Linked DNA regions of Stegostoma tigrinum. The protein of the gene in region 3 binds, or shares a complex with, the protein of the main gene of each other region. Links are inferred from orthologs where the notes say so. Each region holds a gene or a part of one and is shown on either strand. Other genes may lie near its edges. The genes, in order: sptlc1, sptssa and ORM1-like protein 3.

What was found.
Region 1: the proteins of ORM1-like protein 3 (region 3) and sptlc1 are in contact, whole or in part, in a cryo-EM structure (PDB 7K0N), measured with the Homo sapiens proteins. The link is inferred for Stegostoma tigrinum from reciprocal best matches to the Homo sapiens genes ORMDL3 and SPTLC1. Residues at the interface, in NP_001307730.1 of Homo sapiens: Gly92, Val93, Gln94, Phe95, Thr96, Ala97, Lys100, Thr103, Ile104, Ile107, Tyr110, Phe111, Ser114, Tyr119, Gln121, Phe124, Thr128, Leu131, Met132, Leu139, Pro140, His143; in NP_006406.1 of Homo sapiens: Ala16, Leu17, Ala20, Pro21, Tyr23, His24, Leu27, Glu28, Leu31, Ile32, Trp34, Ile35, Leu38, Leu39, Ser41, Lys42, Thr43, Tyr44, Lys45, Leu46, Gln47.
Region 2: the proteins of ORM1-like protein 3 (region 3) and sptssa are in contact, whole or in part, in a cryo-EM structure (PDB 7CQI), measured with the Homo sapiens proteins. The link is inferred for Stegostoma tigrinum from reciprocal best matches to the Homo sapiens genes ORMDL3 and SPTSSA. Residues at the interface, in NP_001307730.1 of Homo sapiens: Val36, Leu38, Ser39, Ile40, Pro41, Phe42, Ser44; in NP_612145.2 of Homo sapiens: Ile44, Tyr50, Thr51, Val54, Phe55.

What each region holds. Positions count from the first base shown.
Region 1 is NC_081356.1:51,371,013-51,374,757, forward strand, and holds the start of sptlc1 (serine palmitoyltransferase 1), read left to right. Parts: upstream 1-1,040; 5' UTR 1,041-1,059; coding exon 1,060-1,113; intron 1,114-3,745. UniProt on the Homo sapiens protein: Component of the serine palmitoyltransferase multisubunit enzyme (SPT) that catalyzes the initial and rate-limiting step in sphingolipid biosynthesis by condensing L-serine and activated acyl-CoA (most commonly palmitoyl-CoA) to form long-chain bases.
Region 2 is NC_081363.1:58,726,958-58,730,702, reverse strand, and holds the start of sptssa (serine palmitoyltransferase small subunit A), read right to left. Parts: upstream 2,403-3,745; 5' UTR 2,277-2,402; intron 2,256-2,276; exon of another isoform or gene 2,218-2,255; intron 1-2,217. UniProt on the Homo sapiens protein: Component of the serine palmitoyltransferase multisubunit enzyme (SPT) that catalyzes the initial and rate-limiting step in sphingolipid biosynthesis by condensing L-serine and activated acyl-CoA (most commonly palmitoyl-CoA) to form long-chain bases.
Region 3 is NC_081384.1:12,493,361-12,497,105, forward strand, and holds the start of ORM1-like protein 3, read left to right. Parts: upstream 1-888; 5' UTR 889-1,029; intron 1,030-3,745. UniProt on the Homo sapiens protein: Plays an essential role in the homeostatic regulation of sphingolipid de novo biosynthesis by modulating the activity of the serine palmitoyltransferase (SPT) in response to ceramide levels.

The DNA.
Region 1 (3,745 bases), on a different chromosome or scaffold from region 3:
GGACCTAATTGAGGTATACAAGATAATGAGAGGCATAGATAGAGTTGATAGCCAGAGACTATTTCCCAGGGCAGAAATGGCTAGCACGAGGGGTCATAGTTTTAAGCTGGTTGGTGGAAAGTATAGAGGGGATGTCAGAGGCAGGTTCTTTACGCAGAGAGTTGTGAGAGCATGGAATGCGTTGCCAGCAGCAGTTGTGGAAGCAAGGTCATTGGGGTCATTTAAGAGACTGCTGGACATGTATATGGTCACAGAAATTTGAGGGTGCATACATGAGGATCAATGGTCGGCACAACATTGTGGGCTGAAGGGCCTGTTCTGTGCTGTACTGTTCAATGTTCTATGTTCTATGTTCTAACAGACATAAGGCTCACCGGCTCATTTGACTGTGGCTCATTTATTGGCTGTCTCAAACTGTAAGTGGTGTTTTTAAAGGATCATGACGTGAGTGACGGTTATTTAAACATCTGCAAGAGCTGTGATTAATTGGAGGAGGTTGTATCTTTTAGAACAAAAGCAAATGCCTGGCTGGTCACTTCACTTTCTCCAAAGGAACATCTAATTTATTTTAGATTTCCAGCAGCTGCTGTAGTTTGCCTTTATTACACAATTTTTGTTCAGTTTTTTAAATTGTTTGACAAAGACAGCAGTGCTAAGTAAATTTGTGATCAGAGATAATGGGAACTGCAGATGCTGAAGAATCCAAGATAACAACGTGTGGAGCTGGATGAACACAGCAGGCCAAGCAGCATCTTAGGAGCACAAAAGCTGACGTTTCAGCCCTAGAACTTTTCTGATGAAGGGTTTCGGCCCGAAATGTCAGCTTTTGTGCTCCTAAGATGCTGCTTGGCATGCTATATTCATCCAGCTCCACACTTTGTCATTCCTTAATTAAATGTGTTCCCGGAATCAGCTGATTATTGGTGAGCACCACGTGATTGGAGTTGGTGACCATATCAACGATGGCAGCCGCCTTCTTGAACTGGCTTGCGTAAGTGCGCATGCGTATGTTTCTGATTATTCCATTTTTCATGCAGTCAGCTGTTATTTGGTAACAAGATGGCGATCGGGCAGCAGTGGGTTCTAGTGGAAATGGTTCAGGCTTTTTATGAGGTAAGAGAACTGTTCCGTAAAATAATTGTGAAAGTTTCACAGACTGTGGAGAACACGTAGTTCGTAATACATCTCAGAGATGAAAAGCTGGAGGGTATTGTGAACTGGTTTTATATTGAGCTAATATTGCCAAAAGGAAGTTTTGGAAATGTGCTGAATTTTATTGATAGTTGAACGAACCCGGTTTTCCAGTTATGCCTCGTTATGTCCAGAGTGACTACTTATGTTGGAACGTGAATTAGGAAGGATTTGTGGGTGAATTGTTTCAAAGTTAGATTTCTCAGTCTAGTCAAGTGGAACTGAAAGAGGTTCTAGCCAAGGCTGAGAATTGAAATTAAAATGATTCGAAATTGCATTTGATAATGTCCATGGTGACCCATTTATTACCCATTTCAAATTGCTCTGAAGAAGGAGGCAGTAAGCAACCTTTTTATCCTCGAAACCAATCAGGTTGAAAGCCTGTAGGAGGAAATTTGACCTTGCCCAATTTAGCCTTTATGGCTGGTCGAGATACAAATGGATTTTGCTCTTGATTATGATTTTTAATAAGGCCTTTGAAGCGCTTCCAGTTCTTTCTAAAAAGTGACTTGTAATTGTCATCATTTTAGATCACTTTTAGAAGGACAATTTATTGTTGGTTTGCCAACAATAAATGAATCACGAGTTCTTTGATTTAACACTTCTAAACATAAATTGCTTAATATTTATAAACCTGATGTGTTAAGTATTCAATAGGTTAAAATTTGTACTAGATAATTTGGTTAGCTGATGCTCAAAATATATTTTCATGTTAAGGGTTGTAGAAAACCTTTTCACTTTTTTTGAAGATTAGCTGTTCAGACTTATTTTTGAATTGTGGGTATCTTGTGCAAGGCCAGCATTTATTGCCCATCTCAACTTGCTCTAAAGAAGATGAGATGAGCAATCTTTTTGACTGCAAGTAATGTGGTGCAGATGCATTTCCAGGTCTGTTTTCTGCAGCAGTTTGATACAAGTGAGTTTCCGAGGTCAGTTGATCACTATAGTTTAAAAAGTGACAGTCGCATATAAGCTAGACTAATGATAGTGGAATTTCTTATGTAAAGATCATAAATGAAGTAATTTGAAATTGAGATTAGCACGTTTTTATTGGGCAGTGTTGTTAAAAAGATTTAGTTCTATTCCTATGTTGAGTAGCAGCAATTAATGCTTTGTCCTGGACAACATCACCAATGATATTGAATATTTAAGGCTACAATTGGCCTCTTTTGCTTATTACAATGCAGTAGTGGTGGGACTGGGTTTGGCTATGATAATATACATACTATATCAGAATAGAGTAGAATCCCTACAGTGTGGAAACAGGCCCAACAAGTCCATGCTGATCCTCGGAGCATCTGACCCAGTCTATAATCCACCTAATCTACACATCCCTAAATACTACGGGCATGTTAGCATGCACGTCTTTGGACTGTGGGAGGAAACCGGCGCATCCGGACAAAACCCACGCAGACCTCAGGGAGAATGTGCGAACTCCACACAGTCGTCCGAGGGTACACTTGAATCTGGGCCTCTGGCACTGTGAGGCAACAGTGCTAACTACTGAGGCACTGTGCCACCCATTACACATTCAAATCTAGGCATGCTATTGCGTGAGCAATAAAAATAAGCTTTGACTCAAGTTTCATTAAAAATTAACTTGAAATGCAGGCCTCACTGACAAAACCATTTTTTCCCCAAATGTCCTGATGTATATTTGCTCTTGGAAAGTAACCAGAGCTGCTTTTATGAACAAGCAGAACATTTGTGGTGATAACAAAATGTGGAGCTGGATGAACACAGCTCATCTGATGCTGCTTGGCCTGCTGTGTTCCTCCAGCTCCACACTTTTTGTTATCTTGGATTCTCCAGCATCTGCAGTTCCCATTATCACAGAACATTTGTGGTGGGTAGGTACTGTGTGAGTACTGAACATGAGAGTACTGTGGTACTCCCACAATACTGTCTGTTAGGAGATTCAGGGAGCCTGTGATGATTGTTGACATGTTCACAAGATTGGGTATTGCAATAAAATTATCCTCAACTGAGTAATTTATTTACTTTTAGCGGAAAACAATGACCACCTCGGTAATGATTTCAGAACAGGGAAAGTGAGTAGAGTGTCTGATTAGTTTTTATACATGCGAATTAAGTAACTTTGTAGATTGCTGCAATCTACAATCTGGAAAATGTTTTTCTTTTGAAAGAGCAAGGGCAATATTTTAATTAACTCCATTACTAACCTTTCTTGTCCTCCTCTCATCTTAATTGCATAAAAATATGCATATTTAGAACACACAGCCCCTTGTGCTTACCTCAGTTCAGTAAGATCATACCTAATCCAAAAGTATGATGCTCCTATTTACGGAAAACATTTTTAACCCCTTGCTTATCAAGAATCTGTCTCTGTCTTTAAAGACATTCAAAACCTTTGCTTTCACTTCTCTTTGAGGAAGAAAGTCCCAAAGAAAGACCGTGTAAGGAATAGTCTTATCAGTGTCTTAAATGGTTGACTTAATTTTTAAAATGGCCCCCAGTTCTAGATTCTTTCTCAAGAAGTGCCATTCTATAAGATGTAACACTTCCTTAATGCTTATTTCAGTTCTCTGTAATA
Region 2 (3,745 bases), on a different chromosome or scaffold from region 3:
AAGCGGGGCACTGGGGGCGGGGGGGGAAAGCGGGGCACTGGGGGCGGGGGGGGAAAGCGGGGCACTGGGGGCGGGGGGGGGAAAGCGGGGCACTGGGGGCGGGGGGGGAAAGCGGGGCACTGGGGGCGGGGGGGGGAAAGCGGGGCACTGGGGGCGGGGGGGGAAAGCGGGGCACTGGGGGCGGGGGGGGGAAAGCGGGGCACTGGGGGCGGGGGGGGAAAGCGGGGCACTGGGGGCGGGGGGGGGGAAAGCGGGGCACTGGGGGCGGGGGGGGGGAAAGCGGGGCACTGGGGGCGGGGGGGGGAAAGCGGGGCACTGGGGGGGGGGGGAAAGCGGGGCCCTGGGGGCACTGGGGGGGGAAGCAGTGCCTGGGGGCACTGGGGGGGGAAAGCAGTGCCTGGGGGCACTGGGGGGGAAAGCAGTGCCTGGGGGCACTGGGGGGGGAAAGCAGTGCCTGGGGGCACTGGGGGGGAAAGCAGTGCCTGGGGGCACTGGGGGGGAAAGCAGTGCCTGGGGGCACTGGGGGGGAAAGCAGTGCCTGGGGGCACTGGGGGGGAAAGCAGTGCCTGGGGGCACTGGGGGGGAAAGCAGTGCCTGGGGGCACTGGGGGGGAAAGCAGTGCCTGGGGGCACTGGGGGGGAAAGCAGTGCCTGGGGGCACTGGGGGGGAAAGCAGTGCCTGGGGGCACTGGGGGGGAAAGCAGTGCCTGGGGGCACTGGGGGGGAAAGCAGTGCCTGGGGGCACTGGGGGGGAAAGCAGTGCCTGGGGGCACTGGGGGGGAAAGCAGTGCCTGGGGGCACTGGGGGGGAAAGCAGTGCCTGGGGGCACTGGGGGGGAAAGCAGTGCCTGGGGGCACTGGGGGGGAAAGCAGTGCCTGGGGGCACTGGGGGGGAAAGCAGTGCCTGGGGGCACGGGGGGGGAAAGCAGTGCCTGGGGGCACGGGGGGGGAAAGCAGTGCCTGGGGGCACGGGGGGGGAAAGCAGTGCCTGGGGGCACGGGGGGGGAAAGCAGTGCCTGGGGGCACTGGGGGGGAAAGCAGTGCCTGGGGGCACTGGGGGGGAAAGCAGTGCCTGGGGGCACTGGGGGGGAAAGCAGTGCCTGGGGGCACTGGGGGGGAAAGCAGTGCCTGGGGGCACTGGGGGGGAAGCAGTGCCTGGGGGCACTGGGGGGGAAAGCAGTGCCTGGGGGCACTGGGGGGGAAAGCAGTGCCTGGGGGCACTGGGGGGGGAAGCAGTGCCTGGGGGCACTGGGGGGGGAAGCAGTGCCTGGGGGCACTGGGGGGGGAAGCAGTGCCTGGGGGCACTGGGGGGGGAAGCAGTGCCTGGGGGCACTGGGGGGGGAAGCAGTGCCTGGGGGCACTGGGGGGGGAAGCAGTGCCTGGGGGCACTGGGGGGGGAAGCAGTGCCTGGGGGCACTGGGGGGGGAAGCAGTGCCTGGGGGCACTGGGGGGGGAAGCAGTGCCTGGGGGCACTGGGGGGGGAAGCAGTGCCTGGGGGCACTGGGGGGGGAAGCAGTGCCTGGGGGCACTGGGGGGGGAAGCAGTGCCTGGGGGCACTGGGGGGGGAAGCAGTGCCTGGGGGCACTGGGGGGGGAAAGCAGTGCCTGGGGGCACTGGGGGGGGAAAGCAGTGCCTGGGGGCACTGGGGGGGGAAAGCAGTGCCTGGGGGCACTGGGGGGGAAAGCAGTGCCTGGGGGCACTGGGGGGGAAAGCAGTGCCTGGGGGCACTGGGGGCGGGGGGGGGAGCAGTGCCTGGGGGTGGGGGTCAGTGTCAGGAGGGGGAAGGGTGTGGGGGGTGAGAGCGTCAGTATCTGGGGGGGGGGCGGGAGAGATGGGTGCAGGGGGTGAGAGTGTCAGTGTCTGGGGGGGGGGGAACGGGGGGAGCAGTATCTGGGAGAGCGTGCGGGGAGGGAAGTAGTGACTGGGGGTGGGGGGTGGTTGCGGGGGAAAGTAGTGTCTGGAGGAGGCGGTGAGGGAGTGCGGGGGTGGGGAAGCAGTGTCTGGGGGAGGGGGTGCGTGGGGGGAGCAGTGTCTGGGGGAGGGGTGTGTGCGGGGGGAGTTGGGGGGGAGGGGAGGGAAAGCAGTGTCGGGGGGTGCGGGCAGTGTCTGGGGGAGAGGGACAAAGGGGTGGTGTGGGGGTGGGGAGGGGGAAATCCCTGTGTTCTCCCGCACTGGGCCCAAGAAAACGGCACGGCCCGGAAACGCCGCCACCTTCTCACCCGGGCCCCCGGAGCCCGTTGCAGAGTCACCACCAACCGCCAAGCAGGAGCCAACCTACCGGACATTAATTATCCAGGACCCCGTCCTGTTGCCAACCCCCTTCTCGTCGACAGCGGCGGAGCCGGAGCCGCCCTATTCCACCGTGCACCACCACTGGCAGCGCCACCTCCGCTCCGGAGGAATACTTGCAGTTAGAGCCGGTGCAGCACCACGTAAAAGTTGAGCTGCGTGTGATGGTGATCTGTGGTAATGGGAACTGCAGATGCTGGCGAATCCAAGATAACAAAGTGCGAAGCTGGATGAACACAGCAGGCCAAGCAGCATCTGAGGAGCGCAAAAGCTGACGTTTCGGGCCTAGCTCCTTCATCAGAAAAAGCACGGTGATAGTATGTCCATGTGATAGTTGCGGTAATAAGTGATAGATGGAGGCACCATCAATATGAAGGTAGGACTTCGTCTCCACAAGGACTGTGCAGAGGTTACTCATCTCCTGCCAGCAGATTGATGGGAATGAAGTCACGCATGGTTACCCCTCACCATCTGCCACAGACCCAGTCCAGCAACTACGATCTTTAAAACTCAATCAACTTGATCAGTCATGGTGCTGCTGAGCCAATCTTGGTGATGGACATTAAAATCACCCATCCAGAGTACCTTCTACACCCTTGCCAAATTCATCGCTTCTTTCATATTGAACAACACTTGGAAGAGTGTTGATTGATCAGCTAATGGAGGACAGTATGTAGTAATTGGGCAGGGGTTTTACATGCTCATGTTTGATCTGATCCCATGAGACTTCTCAGTAGCCACAGTTAATGTTGACTCCCAGGCTGACTTCCTCCTGGGTATATACCACTGTGCCACCCCCTTTCCTAGGTTTATACTAGGTAGGACAGGACATACCCAGGAATGTGATGCTGTTTTTTTTTCTTGGATATTGTATGTAAGGTATAATTCCCTTAGTATGACTATATCAGGCTGTTGCTTGACTGTTCTGAGACAACTCTCCCAATTTTTGCACTAGGTCCCAGATATTGGTGGGGAAGATTTTTAGAGGCGAGAGGGCTGAGTTTGCCATTGTCTTTTTTAATGTCTCAGGCAATGCCATGTGGTCCACCCAGTTTCTTTTTGAGATAACACAGTGTGGAACTGGAGGAGCACAGCAGGCCAAGCAGCATCAAAGGAGCAGGAAAGTTGATGTTTCGGGTCAGGACCCTTCTTCAGAAATGGGGGAGATCAAAGAGAGCTCTGAAATAAATAGAGAAATATAAGTGGGATGGTGATAGGTGAGTGCAGGTGAGGCAGTGGTGGAAGAGAAGATGGACATGTTGTGTCAGGTTAAGGTGGGGATGAGAGGGAGAGTTGGTCATGGGAAGAGGCTGGGTGTGGGGAGATTTTGAAACTGGTGATGGCCACATGGAGATCATTGAGTCGCAGGGTCCCAAGGCAGAATATGAGGTGCTGCTCCTTCAGTTTCTTTTTGAGCCTTTTTAGGAGTTAAAATGATCTAGAAAGCTACTCAGTTGT
Region 3 (3,745 bases):
CTCCAAATGAGATGTTGTTCTTCCAGCTTGTGCTGAGCTTCACTGGAGCACCGCAGCAAACCTGACACTATGGCTCCCACACCATTGGACCCACAATTTACAGCCTGCAACTTAAATGTTGAGGGACTACCCCCAAATACACCCAGACAGCACGCTCCATCCCACAATGTGGACTCAAAAGCTACCAGGGAGTGGTCGGGGGAGGTGGTGGGGATTGGAGAGAATGTGATGTTGAGGCCATGCTCAGATCGGCGATTGTCTTATTGAATGGCAGAGCAGGCTTAGGGGGCTGAGTGGTCTACCCAGGCCCCTGATTCAGATGTTTGAACAATCAAGAAACGCATCTCCTGTCAAATGAATCTGGAGTGGAGGGGTGTGTGAAAGGTCTGGCCGTGCTGCACACGGCAGTGACACTATTTCTCCAAATATTACCATCTGTGTCTCCATTGAAAACTCCTGAACCATCAATGTTGGTGTCTTCTGTATTATAAATTTCTTTAAACTCCCAATTGCTGGGACTAACAAGTTCCCTTGATCTCCCCAGCTATGTACACTGGAGACTTTTATCCCCACACTACACCTAATAAATCAATGCAAACTTCAATCTCAATACAGATCGCATCCCGCCAGCAGGTGGCGGTATTAGCTGGCGATGACCTGAGCTGCCGACCTCCCGCCAGCTGGTGGTGATGTCCTGAGCTGGCGATGTCCAGCCAGCGGCTGGCGGTATGAACTGGCAATGTCCTGAGCTAGCGACCTCCCGCCAGCGGGTGGCAGTGAGTTAGCGATGTCCTGACCTGGCGACCTCCCGCCAGCGGGTGGCGGTATGAGTTGGCTGAGTGGCGCTGGCGGTGACGCCCCGGGGTGCAGACGTCACAGAGAGCTGGGGGCGGGCCGGAGTGGAGCGGAAGGTCGAGGGAAGTTCAGTGGGGAGCTGGCTGCCGGAGGTCGGACCGGCGGCTGCGGGAAGGAGCTCAGGCCCCGGCTCCGGGCTACCCTCTCAAGACAATATAAAATCGCTCTCCCCAGGTAAGGCAAAGGACGAGCTGAGCCCCGCAGCTGCTCAGAGCCTGGGGGGTGGAGAAGGGGAGGATGGAGGGGGTGGGGAATGGATGGAGGAGGGATGGTGGTGGGGGGGATGGAGGAGGGATGGTGGTGGGGGGAGGGATGATGGTGGGGGGAGGGGGGAAGGGATGATGGTGGGGGGAGGGATGATGGTGGGGGGGGAGGGATGATGGTGGGGGGGGTGGGGGGGAGGGATGATGGTGGGGGGGGTGGGGGGGAGGGAGGAGGGATGATGGTGGGGGGAGGGGGGAAGGGATGATGGTGGGGGGGTGGGGGGGAGGGATGATGGTGGGGGGGGTGGGGGGGAGGGATGATGGTGGGGGGGTGGGGGGGAGGGATGGGGGTGGGGGGGAGGGAGGAGGGATGATGGTGGGGGGGAGGGATGATGGTGGGGGGGGTGGGGGGGAGGGATGATGGTGGGGGGGGTGGGGGGGAGGATGATGGTGGGGGGGGTGGGGGGGAGGGAGGAGGGATGATGGTGGGGGGGAGGGATGATGGTGGGGGGGGTGGGGGGAGGGAGGAGGGATGATGGTGGGGGGGAGGGATGATGGTGGGGGGGGTGGGGGGAGGGAGGGATGATGGTTGGGGGGGGTGGGGGGAGGGAGGAGGGATGATGGTGGGGGGGAGGGATGATGGTGGGGGGGGTGGGGGGGAGGGGGGAGGGATGATGGTGGGGGGGGTGGGGGGGAGGGGGGAGGGATGATGGTGGGGGGGAGGGGGGAGGGAGGAGGGATGATGGTGGGGGGGAGGGATGATGGTGGGGGGGGTGGGGGGGAGGGGGGAGGGATGATGGTGGGGGGGAGGGGGGAGGGATGATGGTGGGGGGGTGGGGGGGAGGGGGGAGGGATGATGGTGGGGGGGTGGGGGGGGAGGGGGAGGGATGATGGTGGGGGGTGGGGGGGAGGGATGATGGTGGGGGGGAGGGGGGAGGGATGATGGTGGGGGGGAGGGATGATGGTGGGGGGGAGGGGGGAAGGGGGAAGGGATGATGGTGGGGGGGAGGGGGAAGGGATGATGGTGGGGGGAAGGGGGAAGGGATGATGGTGGGGGGAGGGGGGAAGGGGGAAGGGATGATGGTGGGGGGGAAGGGGGAAGGGATGATGGTGGGGGGGAAGGGGGAAGGGATGATGGTGGGGGGGGAAGGGGGAAGGGATGATGGTGGGGGGAAGGGGGAAGGGATGATGGTGGGGGGGAAGGGATGATGGTGGGGGGAGGGGGGAGGGATGATGGTGGGGGGGAGGGGGGAGGGATGATGGTGGGGGGAGGGGGGAGGGATGATGGTGGGGGGGAGGGAGGAGGGATGATGGTGGGGGGGAGGGGGGGAGGGATGATGGTGGGGGGAGGGGGGAAGGGGGAAGGGATGATGGTGGGGGGGAGGGGGGGAGGGATGATGGTAGGGGGAAGGGGGAAGGGATGATGGTGGGGGGGAAGGGGGAAGGGATGATGGTGGGGGGGGTGGGATGATGGTGGGGGGGTGGGGGGAGGGATGATGGTGGGGGGGTGGGGGAGGGATGATGGTGGGGGGGGTGGGGGGGAAGGGGGAAGGGATGATGGTGGGGGGGGTGGGGGGAGGGAGGAGGGATGATGGTGGGGGGGAGGGAGGAGGGATGATGGTGGGGGGGAGGGATGATGGTGGGGGGGAAGGGGGAAGGATGATGGTGGGGGGGAGGGGGGAAGGGGGAAGGGATGATGGTGGGGGGGAAGGGATGATGGTGGGGGGGAAGGGGGAAGGATGATGGTGGGGGGGGTGGGGGGAGGGATGATGGTGGGGGGGTGGGGGGAGGGATGATGGTGGGGGGTGGGGGAGGGATGATGGTGGGGGGTGGGGGGAGGGATGATGGTGGGGGGGAAGGGGGAAGGGATGATGGTGGTGGGGGGTGGGGGAAGGGATGATGGTGGGGGGGTGGGGGGAAGGGATGATGGTGGGGGGGAGGGAGGAGGGATGATGGTGGGGGGGGTGGGGGGAGGGAGGAGGGATGATGGTGTGGGGGGAGGGAGGAGGGATGATGGTGGGGGGGGAGGGAGGAGGGATGATGGTGGGGGGGGAGGGAGGAGGGATGGTGGGGGGGGAGGGAGGAGGGATGATGGTGGGGGGGAAGGGGGGAGGGAGGAGGGATGATGGTGGGGGGGAAGGGGGGAGGGAGGAGGGATGATGGTGGGGGGGAAGGGGGAGGGGATGATGGTGGGGGGAGGGGGGGAGGGATGATGATGGTGGGGGGGAGGGGGGGAGGGATGATGATGGAGGGGGGGAGGGATGATGATGGTGGGGGGGAGGGGGGAGGGATGATGGTGGGGGGGGTGGGGGGGAGGGAGGAGGGATGATGGTGGGGGGGGTGGGGGGGAGGGAGGAGGGATGATGGTGAGGGGGAGGGGGGGAGGGATGATGGAGGGGGGAAGGGGAAGGGATGATGGTGGGGGGGAAGGGATGATGGTGGGGGGGTGGGGGGAGGGATGATGGTGGGGGGTGGGGGGAGGGATGATGGTGGGGGGGGTGGGGGGTGGGGGGAGGGATGATGGTGGGGGGGTGGGGGGAGGGAGGAGGGATGATGGTGGGGGGGGTGGGGGGAGGGAGGAGGGATGATGGTGGGGGGGTGGGGGGAGGGAGGAGGATGATGGTGGGGGGGTGGGGGAGGAGGAGGGATGATGGTGGGGGGGGTGGGGGAGGGAGGAGGGATGATGG